Linked DNA regions of Mus musculus: all the other regions are reported to be linked to region 3. Evidence: microRNA targets listed by miRTarBase, many of them from high-throughput screens and not tested one by one. Region 3 holds a microRNA gene; each other region holds the end of a gene's coding sequence.

Evidence for each region. The annotated mature microRNA mmu-miR-410-3p reads AAUAUAACACAGAUGGCCUGU and lies in region 3 at 1,271-1,291, opposite strand. An mRNA with a match to its seed (bases 2 to 7 or 8) in the 3' UTR can be bound and repressed. Matches are read on the target gene's strand: a 7mer-m8 pairs with bases 2 to 8, a 7mer-A1 pairs with bases 2 to 7 and ends in A, and an 8mer does both.
Region 1: miRTarBase lists Rragb as a target of mmu-miR-410-3p. Seed matches in the 3' UTR shown: 7mer-A1 at 1,938-1,944.
Region 2: the mRNA of Zbed6 is a reported target of mmu-miR-410-3p. Seed matches in the 3' UTR shown: 7mer-A1 at 2,080-2,086.

The regions. Positions count from the first base shown.
Region 1 is chrX:153,170,798-153,173,797 of GRCm38, reverse strand. Rragb (Ras-related GTP binding B) reads right to left here. Exons shown (of 11, transcript NM_001004154.2): 11 at 1,855-2,582. The coding sequence ends at 2,485. Among named protein-coding and RNA genes, the nearest start is that of Rragb, 32 kb to the right of the region's middle.
Region 2 is chr1:133,654,058-133,657,057 of GRCm38, forward strand. It overlaps Zbed6 (zinc finger, BED type containing 6), which reads right to left. Exons shown (of 1, transcript NM_001166552.1): 1 at 1,822-3,000. The coding sequence ends at 2,598. It overlaps Zc3h11a (zinc finger CCCH type containing 11A), which reads right to left. Exons shown (of 18, transcript NM_001276767.1): 2 at 1,288-1,341. Among named protein-coding and RNA genes, the nearest start is that of Zbed6, 5.3 kb to the right of the region's middle.
Region 3 is chr12:109,741,851-109,745,054 of GRCm38, reverse strand. It overlaps Mir410 (microRNA 410), which reads right to left and starts at 1,340; the gene lies at 1,260-1,340. Mirg (miRNA containing gene) reads right to left here. Exons shown (of 8, transcript NR_028265.1): 4 at 2,765-2,993; 5 at 1,637-1,698; 6 at 1,208-1,389. Mir541 (microRNA 541) reads right to left here and starts at 2,646; the gene lies at 2,557-2,646. Mir409 (microRNA 409) reads right to left here and starts at 1,897; the gene lies at 1,819-1,897. It also overlaps Mir412 and Mir369.

The sequences.
Region 1 (3,000 bases), not on the chromosome of region 3:
GATCCAAACCTGGGTCCTGTACAATAGCAATGGGTACTCCTACCTGTTAAACCATTTTAGGCCCAAAGAATGCTCTTTAATGAGCTATCTCCAAGTGATTGTGGTATATATTGACATTGGAGAACCACTGTCCCATTTGCTCACATATTAGTATAGAAAGCATCACTTCATTGGGTCATTTTCACATTTCTCCTTTTTATTTCTACCCACATTGCCATATGCATGCTTTCATTATCTTATCTATGTATTTAAAGAAGGCTTTCCAAATCCCACTGTAAACATTAAAGATGAGAACAGGCTAAAGCAGACCTCTCTATTCTATTGGTCTTTTTATTTAGAGTCTAGAATATCTACCTAGAAGATTTCTTCTTTGCATGAATACAGCTTCTAAAACTACTCCCATGATGTTCTTTTCAGTTCATATGAACATAGGCTACTTAAAAACATGGTATTTTCAACTTAATGAAAAGTACTTATTTCTCAATTGGGAATAATAAACCAAGACAGTGTGAGACTGATCCTGGAAGATATTTCTTTATCTTTAGTTGTTGTTTCCTTTTATCTATCTATTTATTTAGATTATTTATTTTATTTATTTTATCTATCTATCTATCTATTTATTATTTTTGAGTCAATAGCTCTCTACGTAATCTAAAGGGATATATCCTAACACCTGACACTGGAAGACATTTTAAGATTTATTCATTTATTATATGTAAGTATATTGTAGCTGTCAGACATTCCAGAAGAGGGCATCAGATTTTGTTACAGATGATTGTGAGCCACCAAGTGGTTGCTGGGATTTGAACTCAGAGCCTTCGGAAGAGCAGTCGGTGCTCTTAACCACTGAGCCATCTCGCTAGCCCTGGAAGACAGACCATGAAGTATAGGAGCAATGAGATGAGTCTATAGTGTTGTGTATCTCTAAACACATGTTTGTGTCCTGTTTTGTGCTAATGGGAACTGAAAAGGTTTGAAGCTATGGCAATTCTAGTTAATGTTTTAAGGTCCATTCCTATTTGGAATATGTAAATAAAATAGTAACCACTGTTGGACGTCAAAATTTTTCATCTCGTAAATCTTACTTTCTATCCAGGTTTTATTCATTCATTCTCTAGTTGCTTCCTAGAACTACTTTTAATCTTTCAACATTTTATTTATTCAGTCTCTGTGTATATGTTTATACATGTGGGCACATACGGACAACCTCCAAGAAACAGTCTTGACCTTCCACTCTATAGTTTGTGGAAATCAAACTCAGCTCACCTGGCCTGGCTGTGAGGGCTTTGACCCACTGAGCTTGCCCTGGAGACTTTCAATCTAGATCAGGCCTGGATTACTAATATAGCATCTCCAACGGCTGTCAGTTTATACAGTATAGATAAATTACTTTTTAAACATTGAAGTCACATACCCATCCTGCTCAGTAGCTTCTTGTGTTTTCCTTGTTACTGTAAAATTCAGATATCACAGATATCAGACACTTAAACTCTTCCCTGGAACTTGAGGCTAAAATCTGTCTCCATTTTTTTTCTTTTTCCTTTTAAAGATTTATTTATTTAATTGATAATGAGTACACTGTAGCTGTCTTTAGACTCACCAGAAAAGGGCATCAGATCCCATTACAGATGGTTGTGAGCCACCATGTGGTTGCTGGGAATTGAACTCAGGACCTCTAGAAGAACAGTAGGTGCTTAACCACTGAGCCATCTCTCCAGCCCTGTTCATTCTTTAGTGAACTTTATTTTATACTTTTTCCTAGGAAGCAAGTTCCATTTTTTTTTAGTATAAATGTAATTTTTTGCCCTTAGTGAAAAGCTCAGGATACAAGAAAAAGAAACACAGACACTGGAATCCCTAACAGCAGAAGTTTATTTACATTGAAGTGAAGTTAAGGTATATATATATATATATATATATATATATATATATATATATATATAATTTTTTGAAACAAGATCTTGATATACATCCCTGGCCTGGACCTCCCTATGTAGACAGGCTGGCCTTAAACTTGCAGCAATCCTCTTGCCTCTGTTTCCCAAATGCTGGGATCACAGGCATGAGCTACCTTGCCTGGCTGAGTTACAGAATATTTTTAATTCATGCTGAGAAAACAGTAATACTTCAAACTTACATGTATATATTTGATAATGAATACAAGAGGTGCTGGGAAAGACTTTGGCATACACAACTATTAAAAGCAGGTTATCAGAACACTTAAACACCATTAGAGTCATGTTATCAGAACACTTACATATATCGCCTACGTATACATTACATCAACATCATAGACACCTCATCTTCTAACTCCTCACGCTATTTGAATAAATAGCATTCAAAGATAAACGTTAAGACTGGGGAGTAGAGAAGAAATACAGACGTGGTGGGCATCACAATATTTCAAATCCTACATATATGAATACAACAATAAAATTAAGAAACAGTGTTTCAATTTTTGTGTGAAACAATATTCAGCAATGTTTAGCGCATGAGAAGACACTGTTTTGGTCCATCCACTCTCTCCAGCTTTTCAAAGTGTTTTCTGGCATTGCGGATGTTGATCAGAGTAGCTGCAGAAGCTGAGGGTAGGGTGGGGAGACACCCAACAGAGTAAGAAAGGCAGTCAAAGGTATGTCTGTCTAGTAAAAGCAAATCAATTAAAAGATCCAAATCCTTCAGTGTGTGTCAGAGCATAGGAGCAGAAAGCCTCAAGCTATCAAGGATTTATATTTGTAAAGCAGATTTGTACATATCCTAAACATAAAACTTCACAATCTTTTGGTTTGAGACTAATAGAATAAACCTCAATAATTTATGTTACCTTTAAATATTAACCTAATATAAAACCAGGAGAAGAGAAATAATTTAAATACATGGGGGATATTTTGCAGACACGGTAAGAACCTTTAGTCTAATGGCTGTAGCAGATATGGCTTCCAAGATATGGAAATAACAAATACTGCCCCTTAATACACATAACAGAAATATGCGGCTGTA
Region 2 (3,000 bases), not on the chromosome of region 3:
CATGAATTAATAATAATGAGGTAGAAAGAATTTTCTTCCTCACATTGCCAAGGAAACCTCTCAGCCACAATTGAAACACAGGATGTGTTTTTAAAACATCTTTAAAACATCTCCCAACTCCTGGAAGATTAAGTCCATTTGTATAACCTCTGTCAGACTGGAGACAGCTAGCATTAGTTATCTCCTCAAAAAAATAAAAAAATAACAACAAAAGTTCATTTAAAGATGAACTTAAAATTCAAAGAATTTAAAAAAAATCCATCTTCCATAGCTGAGCAATATAATTTAAAAATAAAAAGATGAAAAAAAGAAAAAAGAAAAAAGTAAAAACACCACCAAAATTCAATAAGATCCAATTTCTGGTCTTCAAGATTTCTTCACCTATTAAGAAAAAAAACAGAAACCTTCCCCCATCTTTATTATCTGTATAATAAAAGCATACTGTATGTAAAAATATAAAGTGTTTTATGTATATAATATCCATATAATATATACTAACAGGCTTATACACACACAAATGTATAGAAATAAAACATTTGGGTAACTATTCTTTTAAAATATAATATAAAAGCTTTTATATTTGGGTTCAATATAAAAATAGTGAACTTACTCTTATACCAAAGTACCATGAAGTTAATGCTACTAAATTTTACCCAGTCACAAAATCAAGATGAAATCCATATAGATGGATGTATTGATAGATACATATATTTGTCAATGTATATGGTATGTTTAACAATCATCGTCAGGGAGTGTTTAACCAAAATAGGTACAAGTGTATAGTTACAGAGTAACTACAGAGTGGGGCAGCGAGCTGAAGAAGGCAGAGCAGCATTACAGCCATTCTGAACCAGCTCGGGTGGGCAGGCGGGCGGGGGAAGCACAGATATGCTCACGGGAAGCACAGAGATGCTCAGGATGCTTACTCTTCTTCCTTTAGATCAACAGAGCATCACTGGCATGGCATTCAATGCTGGCCCTGCAAAGGCTTCCTGATAACTGATGATTAGAGCTAAAGACTTCACTCCAGTTGGTAAAAGGGTAAATTTGGGGGAGATAAAATTTCACTTCACAATGAATGGTGCATTTACCATTTAAGAATTTAAAATTTAAAAAAAAAAAGTTATTTTAATACACAGAAATGAGTTTCAAAACCAGCCCAGTAACAAAGTCACTTTGCTTCTTATGTAATAAACACTACAGACTTTCTAGGCTAAATCTTGCCAAATACTATCCAAGACAAAACTAAAATCAAGACTTAAAAAAAAGTGGACACCTTTTACTCACACTTAATACTAGTCAATTTTCCAGGAATTTTTTGGGCAGGGAATATCCCCAAATCTAAAATGAAAAAAAAGGAAAAATTGGGATCTTACATTAGTTATTCAATCTGAAACATCTAATAGACTTACTAAAAGTCAGCTCTCTGTGGCCTCCCACTCAGTCACAGAAACAGACTCTCCGAGTGGGAAGGCACCTGCAGGGCCACTGAGACAGTTCACTCATTTCAGCAATGATGCCTAACACAGTAAAGTTTCAACTGCTTATCTCAGTTAAAAATACAGTTCCAAACTGCAGTTAGGAACATCATGCTATGGACCAGGAGCACCCTTGAAAAAAATGAACAAGCTCTAGAAATATTCTCTGGGAAACTCACATGGGGTCTGCACGTTCACGAGGCTTGCTTGTTTTTTGATTTTACAAACATCTAATGTTTTTTACTAATGGGTTATTTTAAAGGCACCTATATAATCCCTGTTTTTGGTACTATATTATAAAAAGCAAATCAAAGACCAAAAAGTCATTTTCTAATTGTTTTGTAATGTTCCCTTTTATATAGACCCAATCCTAAATATAAAAGATAATTCTATCATACCCAGTAACCTGACATTATAAACTGACCAGGGTGAGGCAACTATAATTTCTAAAAATGAAACAATTTTGTGGGTTTTCATTCTGTCAAGCTGTGTCAGGGGTTTTAAAGAAATTAAAAAACAGGGGAGGGAAAGACTATGTTAATGCAGTCACTAACACATTCTAAACACCTTTGTGCTCATAGAAGTCCTGAATCACTGTATTTATATAAATAATAACTGAAACCCAATCTTCCACAGTGGAAGAAGTTTTTACTCTAATCAATGACTAGCTCAATCTACCAACCAGAAATACCTAAGTCCTTCAACGCTTCACTGTGTTTCTCATTAACACTGCCCTCTCTCTCAAGTGATACAAATGACACTTTGATAGATGTTAGTTACACTGAGTTACAACTGTGAAATTTTCAAAGTTAACCTTCATTTTGTCATCGTTACACTGCCTCTGTGGAGTTTTCAGTCTTTCTGTAATTTCGGATTTCCTCAGGTTTTTCATTTTTGTAAGGCAGGATCTTAACATGTTGCCTGGGCTGGTCTCAAACTCATGTGCTAAAGTCATAATCCAGCCTCAGTGTCTCAAATAGCCAGGACTACAGGCACTGTGAACACACCCAGCCATTTTTTTAAAAGGATAAATAGTACGACTACATATAGTAACAACAGCAATAAGATATAGTAATATAGCGAAAGCTGCCCATTTTAAGTAGGACAAGGAAAAGGAAATTAAGGTAGTATTTCTTTTTCATTGCTCTGAACAGCCTTATTTTCAGGGTCCCAGCTCAGAATCAATGTAGAATAGTCATAGTTAACATTCTCCAAGTTCATTTTCAGAAATATGAGCTGTTCTATATTATCAAAGTCCATGTTCATGATCTGCTTTGGATGAAAGTGGCTATTTGTGGTAAACATGCATTCAGATTGCCAACTACACATGGGGCAACTCAGATACTGAATGGCAACTTGGGTCAAAGCTGGCCATATGCTCACCTTCCTCTGCCAGTAAACCAAAGGGTCATCACCTCCTGAGAGCTCTGAATACTTCTCTTTGAAGTACTCATCTACTACTGCTACCGCAGCGGGGAGCAAGGAGCTTTTGCTCCCAACAGCAACACTGCCTGCGGCTGAG
Region 3 (3,204 bases):
GTGTGATCAGGTACTTTCTGGGGTCCTTGAGACTCTAGGTCAAGCCTCTACAGTAAGCTCACAGGAGTCTGACAGAGCCAGAGTGTTAAGTTGGAGGAAACATGAAGAAGTGCAGGCTACATTGGACACGCAGACTTTGTGTGCCCCGGTACAGGGGAACGCCAGGGCCAAAGGGGGGGAGTGGGTGGGTAGGGGAGTGGGGGTGGGTGGGTAAGGGGGACTTTTGGTATAGCATTGGAAATGTAAATGAGCTAAATACCTAATAAAAAAAAAATGAAAAAAAAAAAAAAAATAAAAAAAAAAAAAAAAAAAAAGAAGTGCAGGCTAATCCCTACTGGGCCCCCTGTGCTCGTGAAGCAGGGACAGAGCTTGGGTATCACTGCCTTGTAGACTCAGGAGGACATTCTGTGCTATTTCCAACAGGGTGGCACTGAGGACAAGACAGGCCAAGGGATGGTCTCACATACAGACTAGAGAGTCAACCAACACAAAGGCTTCAGTTCTTGGCATCAATGCCTCAAAGTAGAAATGGTCTAGGGTAGGACATGGTGCAGAGAAGTAGGCTGTGGGATAGTCATCAGATAGAAAACAAACGTCTCAGAGACAAGCTAGCTCAGGTACCACCAGCACGGACTCTACTTAGGATGCTTCTTCCTCTAAGATGCCCTTCTGGACTTCCCAACCCCCACCTCAGGAGATGTGAGGCTCTGGGTCAGGATGAGTCAGCTACATGCCTGACCATCAGTGGTGTCCAGTGGGTCAGCAAAGTGTGTCCCTCCCCTGACACCCATGCTCACACAGTAAGAGCCAATGATAAAGAGAGGTGACCATGCACTGTACCAGCATTAAGAATGGAAACCCGTCACGGGCAATCTCACCTCAGATACTAGGAACTGCACGTGTAACCAACTGGCCTGGCTCTTCCCTAAGTATCATGCTAGCCCCTCCAAGCCCTCATGGTATTGAGAAGCACCCAGGGTACAGGGCATTTGAGCATGCAGCCCTCGGTGGAAGCCTTAGACAGGGACAAACACCCATTGTTGTGGCGGGAAAGAGGCATGGAAAGTGGACAGCCATCCATTGCACATCTGGCCAATGCTTCGTGGCCCAGCCTACAAGGTTGGTGCGATCCCAGGAGGCTCCTCAGAGCTGAGGTTCAGTGAAGAGGGGGTGACAAGCGTCATACAGAGTCCATGCATTTACCTACCGGGCAGTGGTGTGACACCTGGTATGTACTGCCGAGTGACCGGAGTGGCAGGTGGTATTGAAAACAGGCCATCTGTGTTATATTCGTCATTAATAAAGCGAACTCATCACAGACAACCTCTCCTCAAGTACCCAGTGTTGACCGCAGCAACCCTGGAGCTGGAATCACCACCTGAAGCTGTCCTGGGGGGAAGGGGGGGATTGCATATAAATGGTGAGTAGGGTTGACACAGGCAGCACACAGCCTGTTCCACCCAGCCCAGTTCCCCGCGGAGGCAGCAACCTAGAAGCACCATGCTGTCCCCACCCCCACAGGGGCTGCAACTCCAAGAGCTTCTCCAAGCTGAGCGTTGATACTGAGAAAAGATCAACCATGTATTATTCGAAGTCAGCCAAGCGAATATAACACGGTCGATCTCCCTTCAAGTACCAGCAGAGGTGTTGAGCTGAGGCTGTGACATCCTGGGCGCAGGCTGCAGCGGGCACCGACGGCTAGTGGACCAGGTGAAGTACATTAGAAACAATTACTTTCCAGCTGGTCGACCATCCGTCCCATACCCCAGAGCGAGATGAGTCCATGGTCTTCCCTGAGGTGGCCTCCCTGGAGGGATTTGATACCGAAAAGGGGTTCACCGAGCAACATTCGTCCTCCAGATGCAAAGTTGCTCGGGTAACCTCTCTCCGAGTACCACGGAGAGGCTCGGATGCTCAGAACGAGGCCGATGGCTGAGTTTCCAGAAGAACCATCCTGGAGCCCCTCAGAGATTATAACTCCCCATTCAGTGAGGAGCCACCCTCCACCACGTGAAAGCAATTATTCCATCACCTCCCCAGTGCAATCTACCACCCTTTCACCTTCCAAGAATATCTAAAGCCTTCCCAGACAACCTTGAGACCCAGGTAGCGAGGAGCTGACTCGGGGCAGAAGTGGGTGCAGAACTCTGCTTACTCTATCTCTCCTTTGTAAGCTGGAGATAGGGAGATGCTGAGACCCTGCGCATATACCACACCACCCTCCCAGAGACGATGCCTTCCAGAAGCGAGGAGGCAATGACTGCATCATCCAGAGATGCTCCTCCTTGGGCCCACCCAACCACTGCAGCCCCACGACCCTGGCATCCCCGCCCTGTCACCTGCCCCCTCCCCCCACGGTGATGTCATAGCAAGAACTGCTTGACCATCCAGTCCTATAAACCAAGCAAGTAATGCTTCAAAGATAAACATGGAGGGAGGAGAGAAAGAACAGCGGAAGGAGATCCCGCAGGGTCCCCTTGTGCCAGTGTGTATGGCTGCCCCGCACGAGCACGCCAGGGAGGGCTCTCCAGTAAGGGTCAGGATCCATTGACTTAGGCCATAAGCAGAGTATGGATTCTGTGTTCGCCACTCATTTTAAAACTCTTGGAGTGTGACCAACATCAGAATCCCTTCTCTGATTTTGGCAAGAGTTCACACAGGCTTCTAGCCTTGCTGCAGGGCAGCAAGAGACTGGTCACATGCAGTGTGTCATACGGGGAAAAGACGCCACGGGCAGCTTCATGTAGGTGTTCTGGAAACTGACCTGTGGGACAGAGGCTCTTTCCCCAGCTGGCATCACCTCCTGGAAATGCTCCTAAGAGGCACACAATGGCGATGATGGTGGCTAACGGTAGCTACAAGATCCAGTCAACAGTATGGGGAGGGAAGCTTGTCCAGGTTCTTCCTCCAAGCACTTGTCCTGGAGAGAGCTCCAGCCACTGACCAGTTCCAAGACAATGATGTAGCCTCTGGAGTCCTTTGAGGTAAAGATCCTTTTGGAAAGAGAGCCACCATGAAACCTGGTGCTCATCACACCCCAGATAGTATATTAGACCCTGGATACATCCACTCTAAAATGACCTCCCGTACGGGCCTAGCCCTTCAGCACCAACAATGGGTACGTCTTTAAGCCTAGCCCTGGGAGCTGGCAACATGGAAACCCAAGGAAGGGCAGGCCCTAGAATGTTCCAGGTACCAACTGCT